2 linked regions of the Struthio camelus genome follow. The protein of the gene in region 2 purifies or fractionates together with the protein of the main gene of each other region. This does not show direct contact. Links are inferred from orthologs where the notes say so. Each region holds a gene or a part of one and is shown on either strand. Other genes may lie near its edges.

The links.
Region 1: the proteins of GOLGA7 (region 2) and ZDHHC5 purify together in Homo sapiens (co-immunoprecipitation; 3 studies listed by BioGRID and IntAct, with this or other methods). This does not show direct contact. The link is inferred for Struthio camelus from reciprocal best matches to the Homo sapiens genes GOLGA7 and ZDHHC5.

What each region holds. Positions count from the first base shown.
Region 1 is NC_090946.1:7,497,480-7,504,987, forward strand, and holds the start of ZDHHC5 (palmitoyltransferase ZDHHC5), read right to left. Parts: upstream 3,017-7,508; 5' UTR 2,877-3,016; intron 1-2,876. Other genes in the region: polyribonucleotide 5'-hydroxyl-kinase Clp1, read right to left, coding at 4,156-4,827, 6,001-6,606. UniProt on the Homo sapiens protein: Palmitoyltransferase that catalyzes the addition of palmitate onto various protein substrates such as CTNND2, CD36, GSDMD, NLRP3, NOD1, NOD2, STAT3 and S1PR1 thus plays a role in various biological processes including cell adhesion, inflammation, fatty acid uptake, bacterial sensing or cardiac functions.
Region 2 is NC_090968.1:7,699,514-7,706,823, forward strand, and holds the start of GOLGA7 (golgin subfamily A member 7), read left to right. Parts: upstream 1-4,291; 5' UTR 4,292-4,292; coding exon 4,293-4,574; intron 4,575-5,882; coding exon 5,883-6,035; intron 6,036-6,391; coding exon 6,392-6,493; intron 6,494-6,656; coding exon 6,657-6,704; 3' UTR 6,705-6,720; intron 6,721-7,310. UniProt on the Homo sapiens protein: May be involved in protein transport from Golgi to cell surface. The ZDHHC9-GOLGA7 complex is a palmitoyltransferase specific for HRAS and NRAS.

The DNA of each region.
Region 1 (7,508 bases), on a different chromosome or scaffold from region 2:
GGCTAGTTGCTCTCTATCGTCCTGAGCCTCGGTACCCTCAACCTTTCACAGCTAAAACCAAGCGAGGCGGCCAGCCCGACGTCGCAGACTCCCCCGTTTTGGCACAGAATCCTTGATTGATGCTTACACCAAAGCAGAAGAGAGTTGCACAATCAGCTCTCGTCTACCACTGATATTTAAGAACTGTCAGAATCAGGAGAGAGAGCAAGAGCGTTCTTAAACCTGCCAACTGAATCAGACCAAATGTCTCACTCTGCAGACTATCAACAGGAGAACACCACTTTTCTCTGCGACCTTCCCTGTCTTCCAGCAAGGAGAGGCACTGATGAGATCTGAAATACGTCCCAGCCAGGACCCACTCTGTCATTTCAATCACAGAACCTGGAGAGTGAGAAGAAGTCAAAGACAAGTATCTTTTTAACATGGACGACACAACTGGATTTCGGTAACAGAGATGCATACCACAACTTAAAATCAAAAGCAAAAATATTCTTGCATTGATAAGAGTTTAACGTCAGACAGCTGGATGCTACGTGGAAAGGTAAATATTAACATTCCCATAGCAACATGAAGCTGCACGGCTTCCCCATATACAACAATTTTCTTATCATCTGTATCGTGGTAATACTGGACTACAGAAGTCAGGCCCTCTTGCGCTCAGCACTGTACAGAAACGTGAGCCCCCCGCCTCAAAGAGACTATTTGGTGACGTTTTCCTGCGTTTAATTCGCAAGGAGAATATACAGTCACGCTGTGTGCTTTCATTGTGGGGAAATTAGGAAACCCGTCTAGAACTAAACTTCCATGGCTTCCCTCATGTTTTCAGGCAAATAGCCTAAGTTTTGCATTATTGCATTTTTGTGCAGTTAGGTGTCCCATTTTCTTCTAAAGGGGAGTAAGAAAACAGAAGAGGGACAAATATTTTCTTCCAGAGAACAGCTAACGAAGCCAGCATCCACTCAGTACTTATCTCCTGGCCTGGCTTATACCACTCCCGTTCTTTTTCTTCTGTCCATCTTACAGTGATTTACACAGGATTAGCCCCGTTTTACAGACAAAGCAGGGAAGTAGGATGCCTCTATGCCTTCAACGCATCCACATCTCATTCAGCGTATCACAGCGAGCAAGGACTAAAGCCCAGCTCTCTTGCCATTGTGTTATCAGAAGCAACCGTCAGGGACTGAAACAATGGGCACAGCAATAGAGGTGTGAATTTCCCAAAATAGGCCTTGTCTAAAATAGGAGTTAAAGGTCTCCTGTTAGACCCAGTCAGCTTCGTTTAATTATCACTGTCACAGCCTCTAGTCAAGGCTACCTCCTACCTCAGAAACCAACAGGAATTAAAGCCCCCTGCTAAAAAACAATTGCTGTCTCGACTGGAAGGCAGAGAAGGTGATAATTAGATTAAGCCTGCTAAGTTGATCCAAGATCAACTCTCCTCATTTGGATCTAGACGAGGCTCTAGTCATATTTTATACCCCAGAAAAACTCCAGGAGCATCAAGGGTAGAAAGCGTGCTTCCCTAAATGCCCCATTTGGGATATATGATGGAGTGAAAACTAGAACTCCTAGAGGAAACCGCTTCCTACGAAGTCACCAGTAAGGCAACGCTATAAACGCAAAAGAAGTCCCTCTTTCCTGCATCAGCAAGATGGGCGGGAGGGCGGAGATTTGGGGGTTTTAATCTCATCTAAGGGAGATGCCACCAAACACACAGAGGCAACAAATTGAGCTTTACACATCTCACATCCATCCTTTAAAACTTCCGAGTAAAAGTCAGGTTGAACACTGGCCAACGCAACCTATTACACCACCAAAAACCACAGAACGTAACGTGGAAACGTGTTTTGAGGCGTAACTCGGATTTAGACAAGGCAGCAGCACACAGAACAGGGCGCTGTCAGAGCCTGAGGTTTTAACTTCTGGCCACTGGCAGGCCACGAGAATCAGAACACGTAAGTCCAGACACCAGGCTGTCAGAAAATAAAGTTGTAGAGACTTTATCAAAGGTATTAGGGCTACTGGCAGCGAGGACGGTCCCAGTTAGAGGACAGCAAACGTGTCCTGGAACGGAAAACTTTCACACGGACGCAACTGTTCCACCCGCTCAGCCAGGAAGGAGTCACTCACAGAATAACGCTGCCTACTTCGAGGGCTGTAACCACGACGGCTCCTAAAGCAGAGGGATCGAAAAGCAAAAGCAACCGATCCCAGCACGGAAGGACAACGAACGACGACCTCCGCCTATCCAGGGGCGAGCTCCGGACGCAGGCAACGGGGGAAACGAAGCCGCTGGCAGGTGCACGTACGCCCGCCGCCCCCAGCCTCTCAAACACCAGCGCTCCCCATCCTCCAGGCCCGCAGGACTCGCGGCGCTACCGCACCCACGGCAGGGCCACCGGCGCGGCCCAGCAATCCCCCCCCCCAACACCCCCAACCCCGGCCGTGGGGGGGGGGGGGGCAACACCTGCCCTTGCAGAGGGCAGCTGGGGGGAGGTGAGGGGAGAAGGGGCTTCAGGCGGGGAGCCCGGGGGGGAAGGCACCGGCGGTCACCGCTGGCCCAGCAGGAAGGCGACATCTTAGCCAGGAGCAGAAGGAAGCAGAGTTCCTGTTAAGGAGGTGCTGCCTTAACCCGCCGGGCCGTTAAGCAGGGGCAGGGGGGACGGCGGAGCGGGCAGGGCCGCCGCCGCCGCCGCCACGGGGGACCGGCTCCGCGGGGGCACAGCCGGCCGGAACCGGCGGAGGGAACCGCCTCGGGCTGCCGCCCCCCCGCCCCCCCCCTCCCCGGGGCCGGGCACACGGCGGGCGAGGCCGGAGGAAAGCGGGGGGAGCGGGGGAAGGGGCCCGGAGGCGGCCGGGGGCCCGCTGTGACTCACCGGGCGGCGCGGCGCGGCCCGGCCCGGCCCGGAGGCGGCTGGGAAGGGCCGCGCGCAACGCTGCCGGCCACGAACCGTCGCGGCGCTCGGCGGCCGGCCACGACGTCACGGGGGCCGCGCCTGCGCACCGGCCGGAAACCGGGCCCCGGCGGCGGCGGCGGCGGTGGCGGCGGCAGCGTCGCGCGCGCCCCCGCCCGCCACACCTCATTGGGCCGCGCGCCGCGGGGAACCGCCTGGAAGTAGGCGAGGGGGGAGAGCGGCGCGCATGCGCGCGGGTGGGAGGAAGAGGGGGGGAAGGTGGTGGTGGGAGGCGGTGCGCATGCGTCGGGAGGGGGTGGGCGGGCGCATGCGCGGAACGTACCACCCTCGCGGCGGGTGGCGGCGCGCACTGCGCAGCTGCGGGGGGGGCCGCCGCTCCTCCCCCGCCGCGGCCCGTGGCACAGCCCGGGAGGGGGGGCGCCCCCCCCATGGCACAACCGAGGGGTCGGTGGTCGCCGTGTCCCCCGCCTCCAGCTCCCCCCCCTCCCCGTGCTCCGGGGGCACCACTGGCCTCACAGGCGCAGGGTCCACACCCGGGGTGGGCAGGGGACCCCCTGCCCGAAGGCAGCCCCGGGGTCTGGGTGCCCCCCGGGTGCCCCGTCTGCCCCTGAGGCAGGGGGCTGCTCCCCCTCTTTGGGGGGGGGGTCTCCCTCCTACCCGGGTCATTAAAGACAGCAGGCCACGGGGGTGAGGGTCATGTTCTTCTACGCTCCCCCCCCTCCCCGCAGAGCTCAGGGGAGTAAGTCGGAGAGGAAAGACATGGCTTCTGCTCCCACCGTCTCCCCAGCCTCAGCTTCCCCCACCAAAGCCTCTCTCTGTTTTATCAGCAGCGCAGGATTCCCATCGCTCGGCCTTGAGCTGCTCTTCTCCTTACCTGCCCCCTCCGCTTTGCCCCACTGCTGAGGCACCGGGACAAAAGTTCACAGGGCACGGAAAAGCAAAAGGCTAGGAAATTTAATAACAAAAGTTATAAAAGGATATTAAAAAAAAGATCGAGCAGCGAGCCTCTTGTATGAGAGGGCTCAGCAGTGCTCGCTGGCACGTGAGAAGGGGAGAAGTGGCCAGACTTCGGGGCCAGAAACCTGCTGGATGAAGAAGAAAGGACACAGGCAAGCAGACAACTTCCAGCCGCGCAGGATGACCCAGCTGGCAGATGTTTCCTTGCTCCCCTGGAAGTCTGAGGTGTGGGGCTGCCCCCTCTGTTTCTCCCGTCTCCGAGGAGACTCCCTATTTTCTGCTTCTACTTCAGATCCATGAAGCGAATGTCCATGATGAGGAGGAAGTTCTTGGGCAGCGGGCGAGGGGCAGGCGACAGCACGGTGAAGACCTGGCGCTCCAGGTCCACGCCGGTGACCACGATGAAGCCGGCCACGCTCGTCTCCGAGATGTTGTCGTCGGGGCTGTCGGCCATGCTGACGCTCAGCAGGTGGTGCACCATGTCCCGCCCCGGCGTCACCGGCACCAGCTTGAGCTGGTTGTCCTCCTGCGACATGCCCAGGGGGAGGCAGGAGTCCGGGATGGTGGGAGCCCCCACCTTGTAGATCTTGACGTCAGAGAACTTGACGTCAAAGGCGTGGGGGTAGAAGCAACCCCGGAAGCCGTAGAAATACTCCCTGATGCGGTCGTCTCGGCACTCCCGCCGGAAGTCCTTGGAGCGCTCCACCACCCCACCGGATTTGGGGAGCAGCACCGTGCGCACAAAGTGGGGCAGGTCCCTCTTCAGCTCGTTGTAGAGCCGCTCTTGGTCCAGCACCACCACCACGTCCACCTCGAAGGCAGAGGCGGCGTGCACCAGCGCCTGGTACCCCGAGCCCTTCACCCAGCCGCACGTGTTGATGACGCAGCCGCTTACCGACGCTCGGCGGTTCACTTCACACCGCTGGTTGAAGACGTCTGCCAGGCGGGATGTGATCTGTGAGGAAGAAAGGGCAGAAATATTAGGACAGAGAGATCTCTTCGGGCACGCCAGGAGCTGAATCCCCCTTCCACCTGTACCCCCTTCTCAGGGCTGCTGCCATTAGGAGCCCCGGAGCAGACAAGATGGCAACACCTTCTCTGGCAGAGGAGGAACAGGGAGGAGACGGGATCCGTTGCTGCTCTGCACTCTGACCCCTCCACGCTTTCCCCAGCTGGGCTACCACAGTATTTCAGCATCCCAGATATCTCCCCTGCTGTGCTTACGCTTGCCGCCTCCTTTGAGATCCTCAAAGCCACAGCACGTGAGTAGGACCACATTGGTCCTGACTGGGTAAAAGGCTCAGGGGAGCAACTGAGAAGCTTCTATCCCCAAACAGCAAGAGACATTGGCAATGACAGACACTTTTTTTTTTTTTTTTTAAAGGAGGACATGTGAGCCTGGTCACCTTCTGCAGTCCATTTCTACCCAGCTCCCCATGCAGCTGTAGGGATGGTAGAAAGTACATCTCTGCCCACCCTTTTTCACATCTATTTATGGGCCTGCTGTCCACGAATGCATTAAGTCCCTCTTGACCCCGCCGATTCTGTCTGCCTCCGCAGCCTGCTGTGACAGCTGTGTACAGAAGAGCTTGTTTTTATTTGCTCTAAACCAATTTCCAGCTGGTTTCATCGGACGTCCCGTATTTCCTCTGTTGCAAGCTGCGGTGACTAACAGTTCCCCGTTTGGCTCACCTAGCAGCTGTACGATTTTGTAAACCCGTCAGACTCCCTCAGCCCTCTCCTCTCTGGACTGAAAGGCTGCGGCCTTCTTAGTCTCTCCTAACACAGCTACTCCATCCCCTTGATACAGTTACGCCTCTCTGCACCTTCTCAAACTTCACAACGTCTTTCTTGAGCAGGAGCGCCCGGAAGCAGGCACGACACTGAAGCGCACCATGGTTTTACGTAGCAGCAAAACAGATCAGAGTCTCCCAGAATAAGTAAGGCGGAAGGGAGCTCTAGCCCTAGCCCTAGCCCTGCCCCAAACAGGGCTGACTACCAAGCCAGATCAGGTTGCTCAGGGTTTAACCTGCAAAAGCCTCCAAAAGCGGTGCAGCCCCGTGCCCGGGCCCTACCGCAGGGCTGCACCGTTCCCAGACCCCCCCCCGGGCCCCCCCCCCATACTCACCTTATTGTACAGCTTGATGTTGGTGCCAGGCGTGGTGGAGCCGAAGTGATAAACCAGCGGGGCCTGCAGGGAGAAGCCCTCCTCCACGTCGGCAGGGCGCTCAATGTAGAGGGCCCCCATGGTGCCGGGGATGGAGACGGAGCCCTGGCCCACGTCCAGCTCCACAAAGGTGGGCCGGCGCCCCAGGCGCACGGCGTAGTTCAGCAGCAGGCGGCACACGGTCGACTTGCCCACGTCCGTGGGGCCCACCACCATGACGCGGGGCCCCCGCTCGTCCTCGCGCTCCGCCTGCCGGCGCATCTGCTCCAGGGCCGTGTGGGTGTTGAGGTAGAGCAGCATGGGGGTGTCCTTGGAGACGTAGGCCACCTCGGTGCGCCCGCTGAGCTGCACGGTGCAGCCGTGCCAGGTGAAGACGGCCACCTTGGCGCCGGCGTCGAAGGTGAACTTCTTGTTGCGGGTGAGCTCGGTGCCGAAGACCTCTGCCATGCCGGTGAGCAGCTCCAGCTGCACCGTCTGCGAGGCCTCCACCTCGAACCGCAACTCCGTCTCCCGCTCCAGCTCGAACTTGGCCACCTGCTTCTTCTCGTCGCCGCCATCGTCCGCCATCGCTTGGCCCTCTGCGGGGCAGCGCAGGCTGTCAGCGGCGGGGCACGGCAGCTCCTTCCCCAGCCCTGCTGGGGGAGCTGCCCCTGCTCCTTCCCCCCACCCAGCCCCAGCTCTGCCCGCACCACCTCAGCGTCCCCGACCCTCCTCCAGCCGGATTTGGGAATCCCTGGCCCGCTCCGGGGGGGGGTCCTCGGCCCATTTAGGGGGCCCCTGCCCGACTCGCGGGTCTCCAGCCTGCTCCAGGGGACCCCAGTCCACTTAGGGGGCCCCGACTCGCCTTGCGAGTCCCCGGCCCGCTCCAGGGGGCCCCCAGGCTTCCCCCGGCCCGCTCCAGGGGGTCCCCGCCCCAACCCCGGCCCGGCTCGGGGGTCTCGCCCTGCCCCAGGCGCGGGGGGGGGGGCACCCCCGTGGCCGGCCCGGCGCCTCCCCCCCCACCCTCTTACCGGGGCGCTCGCGGAGCCGGCGCACTTCCGGCCCCCGCGGGGGGGCGTCTCTAGGCCGCGCCGGAAGTGAGGTCACGCGGGCGACCCCGCGCCGGACCCATGAGGGGGCAAGTCGGAGGGGGCGTTGCCAGGGCACCCGCGCGCGGCGCCTCCTGGGTGACGCGTCCCCCTCGGCGGCCGCGCGGCCCCCTTCCCCCCCAGCGCGCAGGCGCGGCGGCGCGCGGCGCCCCCTGGGAGACGTAGTCCAGGGCGCTGCCCCGCGGGGGCCGATCGCGCTCCCGGCTCATTTGCATATATTTGCATGTCAGGCTTGGGACCTCCCCCTCCCCGCGCGCGCCGTGCGTCACGCGTTCTTTGGCATGCCATTTGCATCTCCTTAGAACGTGCCCGCGGCCCCGTGGGAAAGGCGCCGGGCTCATCTGCATCTCATTTGCATGCCATTTGCATGCCGCCCTCCCT
Region 2 (7,310 bases):
AGTAAAATCATAATTGGATCAAACTTTGCATTCAAAAGCACATTCTTGGAGAATATTTTATATGCACATAAAACATCTGAGAAAATGTTAACATTATGATCTTAACTGCTTGCACATTGGAACCAGCTAAAGGTTAGGAAAACGCGGCCCATCTGGTACAGTACTCCAAACGGATTATTTCTGAGCGCGTTTCCTTCAGGACCTGGTTGGCGGCGGCGCAGGAGCCCCGCTCGGAGGAACTGCGGACGCGCTGCGACGCGCGCGCCAGGATGCTGCCCATCGTCCACAGCAGGAATCTGCCCCGTTTATTTTCACCGCGCTCACGACCCGGGTCCCCGGAGAAGGGGCAACACCCCGCCGCGACACAGGGCGGCCGAGGGCGGCCCCTGCCCCAGGCAGCCAGCAGGACGCCACCGCGCTCGCCGGCGCGGGGGCCCAGCCGAGGCGCGAGGAGGACCGGGAAGGTCTGGAGCAGCACCCGCTCCGCTGCGCCGCTCCACGCAGCTCCCCGCTTCCTATGCCTGTGCGGAGGTTGTTTGTTCAAGCAAACCAATTAGGTGTTTATTAGCCTTCATTATGGAGTGCGAGAGGGTTAATTAGTTCAGGCTGTTCCGACGGGGCTTGAGGGTGATCAGCAGCAGCTGATACCCAGGTTCCCAGGGCAACCCACCACCTAGCCTGATTTTTCTTTTCCTTTTTCTCTCTTCCCTGAGCAAATTAGGAGTGCCATTATCGGATTTGCAAACTGCTTAGCGCATGGAGTGCATCCGGGCAAGAGGAGGCTGGGGGCGCAGGGGACAGGGCAGCCCTGCCCCATCCCCTCCGCACCCGGCAGGCCCCAGGGAGGCAGAGGGGCTATCGTCTCTTGCTGCTCCATCGGCACCGAATTCATCCCAGCCATCGAAAGGCCTCTCGCGGAGGAAGGACAGCGCTGCGCTGGTCACCGCAGCGATGTGAATGAAGCAGCCCGGCCTGGCCAACGTGCAAAGGGGGAACCGCAAATGCTAAAAACGTGGGATTCACAGGAGTGTCAGAAACCCCCCGCGGACGCCCAGCTCGCTCCTGCCATGCTCCACGCATGACCGGAGAGGACCAGCCATTTCCACCTGGCTCCGTGTTTCCCCTCCCAGCGGCCTGCCCCGCCTCCTGAATGAATTAGAGCAGTTTCCAAAAAGACAAGGGTTAAATGCAGGCAAAAAAAGGTCTTTAAGATGGTCCGGTGCCATGTACCCAGACACCCCCAGGCCCAGTCTGCCACCCTCTGTATATTCTCTGTTTGGACTAACGGCCTTTCCTGTGATTTATTTGCCCGCAAACTCCCGCAGGTCTGTTTAGGTGCGAGAACGGCTCCTCTGAATGCAGATTTCCCTATCCCTTTAGATGGGAAGAGCAAACATTATCAGCTTTTTAGCAAAAGAAAATGTAAGCTTAGCAGAAGGGCAGGATGAAGTAATTCAGACTGCCAGACTGAACTCTGGCAATCAGGTACAAGATAACAATTGCTGTGGCCCTGCCTAATTATTTCTGCTCCAGCTAATTGTGAAAAAACAGTCATTTCCACTTAAAAGACGCCCCGTGTGATCTGCAGGATGGCGATTCCCCTGAGGAGCTGCAGGTCCCCGGCAGAGTCCCTGCCCAGCCCCATGAGGGCTTTGAAGAGCGATGCCCTGCAGGGGCAGCGTTCTCCACTGGCATTTTCCAATTACTGTACAGAGACATCTGTCCCGTAGCCACCTTGCCCTGAAATCCGAGTGCCGCTGTCCCTCGGCCGGGGAGAAGCAGGGGTTCACGGCCGCTGCAGCTGCAGCCGCACGCCGCCGGGTCTGCGCTCGGTCTGCCTTGGCTTGGAGTGCCTTAGGGGTCTCAGAGTCCTGGGACCCCCAGGAAAACTCCCAGGACCGGTCCAGACCCTGCTAACTGTGCAGCTACAACACACCCTACCTGCAAGCTCTCAGGTGTCCAGCTGCCCTAACATTTCCAGCACGACACGTAGAAATAACATCTGCTTTTTTGGAAATTTAAAGGAAACGACGCTCCAAAGGGGCTGTCTGGAGAAAGTCTGAACTGCCTCTGCTCTCCAGACTCCACACTGCAAACACAGCTCCCGGCGCGTGGCCAAAGAGGTCCAGAACAACAAGCCCTGTCCCCTCCTGCTTTTTCTTTATTTGCACTCTTTGGGTGATTTCCTGCTTTTCCCTCTTCAGCACAGCCTGAACAGAGCAGTTATAGGACCAATGGCAGGAGATAAAGCCCAAAAATCTGGGCTAGGTCAAATTTTCCAAACGGTTGCAGAGCACAGAGGCCATCGTCATGGAGGGCAGATGCGATGAAACGACCTTCCCCCTGCAGCAGCGCTGGTGCCTGCAGGTGGTGGCCCAGGCCCGGAAAAGCAGCCCCACGGGCGAGGGCAATAGCACTCGGGCTGATCCGGGCGGGCAGGACGCCGCATCCCTCCAGGCTGCGGGGCACAGGCGGCAGTGCCAAACGTGCTGCGGCACCTCGGGAAAAAGCCTTGCGTGAGGCTGCCAAAGGAAGCACGCAGGGGACAGGGCAGGCAGTCGGGGATGGGAGAGCCCTAAACATGCTGCCGTTAGTTTTCTTCCGGGTCAGTGATCCGTGTGCAAGCGCCTGCGCTGGACGGCTCCCGAGCCCTTCACTCCGCTGCCTGAACGCAGCTGCCCGCTCCGCAGCCGCTGGTTTATTGCCGTCATAAAACACGTACACCATCGTCTTGATTTGCTTACAATCTTGCTTTTAGCCATAAAAATGCAGAAAAGTGCATTCAGCAGAGGAATAAAGTTGAACCCTACAGCTAGATACTGCAGCCGCTTGCAGACGTGCCAGGGCTGCACAGGCCCGTGAAACAGCACAGGCACACTGAGCAAGGCCAGGTTACTCAGCCAGGAGCGTTTTCTGTCCCTAAGAACACAAATTAGAGACCACATTTTACTACCAACATCTGGAATTTCAATGCCCTTGCAATAGATAACATCTGGATTGAATTCTCCTTTTATTTTTTACAGGGTCTTCTTATTTAATAAATAATAATAGTTTATTACTGCACTGTAAAATATCATAATCCTTTTCTCAGCAAGAATGAAAAAGATTCAGAAAAAATAGGAAGTGCTTTAAAAAGAGCACTGCCAAGAACTAACGAAAACAGAGCATTCCCTCAATAGAGAGATGTTTCTGCTTATTTCTGCATTTTATGGCACTCAGCTCAGTGTGTATTTGCAGATGTGCCAACAAGTGCACCAACAATCTAATAAAATCTTGGCTCACACGAGCTGAACCTGCGGAAGGCGCTTCACACCTCCTCGAGCTGGGCTGCTCCCCTGCAGCACTGGCTCGGGCCGGGCTGCCGTGGGCGCATCTCGCGCACACACATCCTCATGGAGCTGCTCACGACTCGGGTCTGCGGGGATCGGGGTCTGCCCGGATCGGGGTCTGCAGGGATCGGGGTCTGCCCGGATCGGGGTCTGCCGGGATCGGGGTCTGCAGGAACTGGGGTCCGCTGGGATTGGGGTCCATGGGGATTGGGGTCTGCAGGGATCACGGTCCACGGGGATCAGGGTTCAAGGGGACTGGGGTCTGCAGGGATTGGGGTCAATGGGGATCAAGGTCCACAGGGCCTGGGGTCTGCAGGGATCGGGGTCCACGGAGATCGGGGTCCGCGGGGCTCGGCACGGGAGCGGCCTCTGCTGGGGCCGCGCCAGCCATGGGCCGCTGAGCCCAGCCGCAGGCCTGGGCAGCGTTTCCCCAGCCCGTCGCTCCCACGCGTGTCACAACGGCGTGAGTCGAAGAGGGGAGGCCAGACAAGGTGCAAAATTCTGGGATGAGACTGTTAATGATTCCCCTTGCTGCTGGCCCAGCGTCGGCTTTCCAGTTGCCCCTCAACTAAACGATCTTCGGCCTTGCTTACGTCTGGCAGAAGCGGGACTCCCACGGGGGAGGCCACGATCCCCGCTCATCAGCGTCGCGAACGCCGGACGAAGCCGGAGCGAACGCCAGCCCGCGCCAAGCGGAGCGCAATTCACCCGCCGCAGCGCAGGCGAGGCGGCCGGCGCCTCCCGGGGCTACCGGCCAGCGCGGCGGCCCCGGCGGCCCCCCGGGACCAGGCCTCCCAGGAGGATCCATCTGCTTCCGCGGGGGAGCAGGACTGTACCATGCTGACGGGGGAGGGGGGGTGCGTCACGAAGACTGCACCAAGCCGCGCGCGCCTGCGGGGAAACAGACCCGTGATGGGCGGGGCAGGCACCCTGCAACCAATGGGATGCGGCGTGGCGAGGCGCATGCGCAGAGGATCCCCGGTGGCCTCTCCCGGCCCGTCCGCCAGAGGGGTGGGGAGGTGCATGCGCAGGGCGGGCGCTTCCGCTTCTTTCCGGGCCCTCAGCAACGCCGACGCGTTTGCGACAGCCGTAAGTGCGGCGGCGGCGGCGGCGGCGGCGGCTCGCCGCGGAGCGATGAGGCCGCAGCAGGCGCCCGTGTCGGGCAAGGTGTTCATCCAGCGGGACTACAGCGGCGGCACGCGGTGCCAGTTCCAGAGCAAGTTCCCGGCCGAGCTGGAGAACCGGGTAAGGCGGGCGGCGCCCCGCCCCGCTCGCCGCAGCACCGGGCCCGAGGCCGGGGTGGGGGGCGGGGGTGAGCGAGCGGCGGCGGCTCGGGCTCCTCGGAGGGGCCCGGAGAGCCCTGGCGGCGCGGCGGAGCCCCGCGAGCACGTGGAAGGTCCCTCCTCGTCCTCCCTGCCTCCGCTCCCAGCCCTCGCTCTAGGCGGGGGAGGGAAGCGGAGCCCCTCTCGGTGGCCGGGGAGCAGCTCTCCTCCGTCACGCCCCACGGGGGGTCTGCTAAGACCTGTCAGGTTTACTTCCAAGTTTAAAGACGGTAGCAGTTTCTTTTCCTCATCTTGATCCTGTCTGATGCACATCATGAGAGGGCATGTTTTCAGAGTTTGAAAGCAAAGTTTGAAAGAATGTTTCCACATTCTTTGGTTTTGGGCATGTAAACGTTGTTCATTGTATAAATGTCACTTGTGATTTATTGTAGCTACAAAATGCTTCTAATTTGACAAGAATATCTATGTTCAAAAATGCTTCTTTTCAGTGGTTTTGAAACGCTGGTGGTTTGTGCTATCTTTAATCCTGAGGAAAACAGCAGTCCTTTTGTAGCAATAAAATAAAAATGCACTCATTATGTCAATGAGAATAAAGCGTGCATTGTTGCACTGTGATGCATTAACGCTGACTTTTCTTGTGGAGACCAGACAGGTCTGCTGAGCCTGTTCAGTAGCCTTACAAGTACTGTCTCAAGTACTTTAATTTTGTTTATTGCAGTCAAACGTGACATCTTCAACTGATAGCCAAATGACCACTCCTTGATAATGCCTTTTCTTTTTCTCACTGTCCTTTTCTTCTTTTCTACTTTTTTCTGTTGGTTTAGTTGAGGGCTTATTTGAGCAGCACTGTAGAAGCCCCAAGGAATTACTGGTATCAGGAATTAGCTTTGTTAATCCATTCACATAATGCTCTTTTTTTTAATCTAGTAGATATCTCTGCCTGTGGATTTCTTTCTTTTTTTTTTTTTTAAGTGAATTGCCCTTTGGTTTAGTTAGTTGTTACTCCTAATTTCTTTGTGTTCAGACTGTTTTGGAATTCAGACTTGATCTAATCGCTTAGCGGATATTTACCAAAGAACTGCAGGTCTGTAATTCAAGGTGTCCTTCAAACTTTGGCTCTAAACGTATTACCTGTTTTAGATGTTTGTAGGTGACGCTACTGACAAAGTGTGGAAGTGCACGTGAGCAATAAATGAAGGTAGATATCTGATGATATCTGTGAGTTCTGAAGTGTGCAGGGCATGACTGTTAAATTTGACTTCTTCTGCAGATTGATAGGCAGCAGTTTGAAGAGACCGTCCGAACACTGAATAACCTTTATGCAGAAGCTGAAAAACTTGGAGGCCAGTCTTACCTTGAAGGGTGTCTAGCCTGTTTGACTGCCTATACTATCTTCTTGTGCATGGAAACACATTATGAAAAGGTAAGTCTACCTTACTGCTTGGAAGGCAGTGTATTCCATAGATTTCAGTTAAGGATTTGTTTCCTGGTAGATTTTCTGTGACTTGTACCATTCTTGTACAATTCCATATAGACACCAGAGCTTACTACAGAGTGACTTTACATATAGGCAAGCCTCTTGATAGATATCTAGTCAAACTGAGTGTTGACTTGTGCTTTAAATTCCAGAAGAATCATGTAACTTCTATCTGTAATGAAAACTGGCATTGTGACGTTAGGGTCCCCTAACGTTGTTATATTTGTGATAAAGCTGGGGCTCTGACTCTAATGCAGTAAAAACTGGTTAAGAAACTGACCTCTATGCTGTTCTATTATCAGGTTCTAAAGAAAATTGCCAAGTTCATTCAGGAACAGAATGAGAAGATCTATGCTCCTCAGGGCCTCCTTCTGACAGACCCTATTGAAAGAGGATTAAGAGTTGTATCCTTTAGTGGTTTCTTAGATTGTCTGCTGGTTTGTCCGTCTATGAAACGCTGACGTTTTATCTCAGTTAGAAGGGCATTCTGTAGTTCTAATGTCTTGCTTCTGGTTTTGTTTTCATAATCTTTTTATAGTATGTTTCCCTAACGGCCTTTCTCTGCAGATTGAAATTACCATTTATGAAGACAGAGGTATGAGCAGTGGAAGATAAAACTGTGGAGTCTAAGGTATTATTCACTTTATATTACATGTCAATCTAAACCCGTTCCTATACGCTCAGAGGGATAGACTGTCTTGCTGAGGGAGAATGTGTATGCAACCACTGCATGTAATCAAAGGCGTTTAACATAAATCTTGTGTGGATTAGATTTTCAGATACCGGTTGAAGATGTAAAAATAGCAATAATTAGCAGTATCCCACTGAATAATAGTGAAGTTCAGATGATACTAGATTTAATGAAATACAGGTCTTGATTGTGTAAATACATATAAATCTAACTTGTGCTGTGTAGTGTCAAAAATTGTTCTCTCACTTGTAGAGCCATGAGTCTTGATTCTGAAGTTTCTCTGTCATAAGATTGCTCAGAACCTTAAGCCTTCCCTTTAAAAGCAGACTTTAAAATAGGTTGCTTTTGGATCTCAGAACAGATTTCAGGCTAATCGCATAAGATATTCAGAAATAATCAGGAAAAATAATTGATGTTTTTCCTGTACTGCTGTCAAAGATGCAGTTTTCCCCATCAAATTATTTTTCGGAAGTACATGGGGCTTGGATCTCTTGTAAAAGCTTCTATGTTTCAAGCACATGTAGTCAACC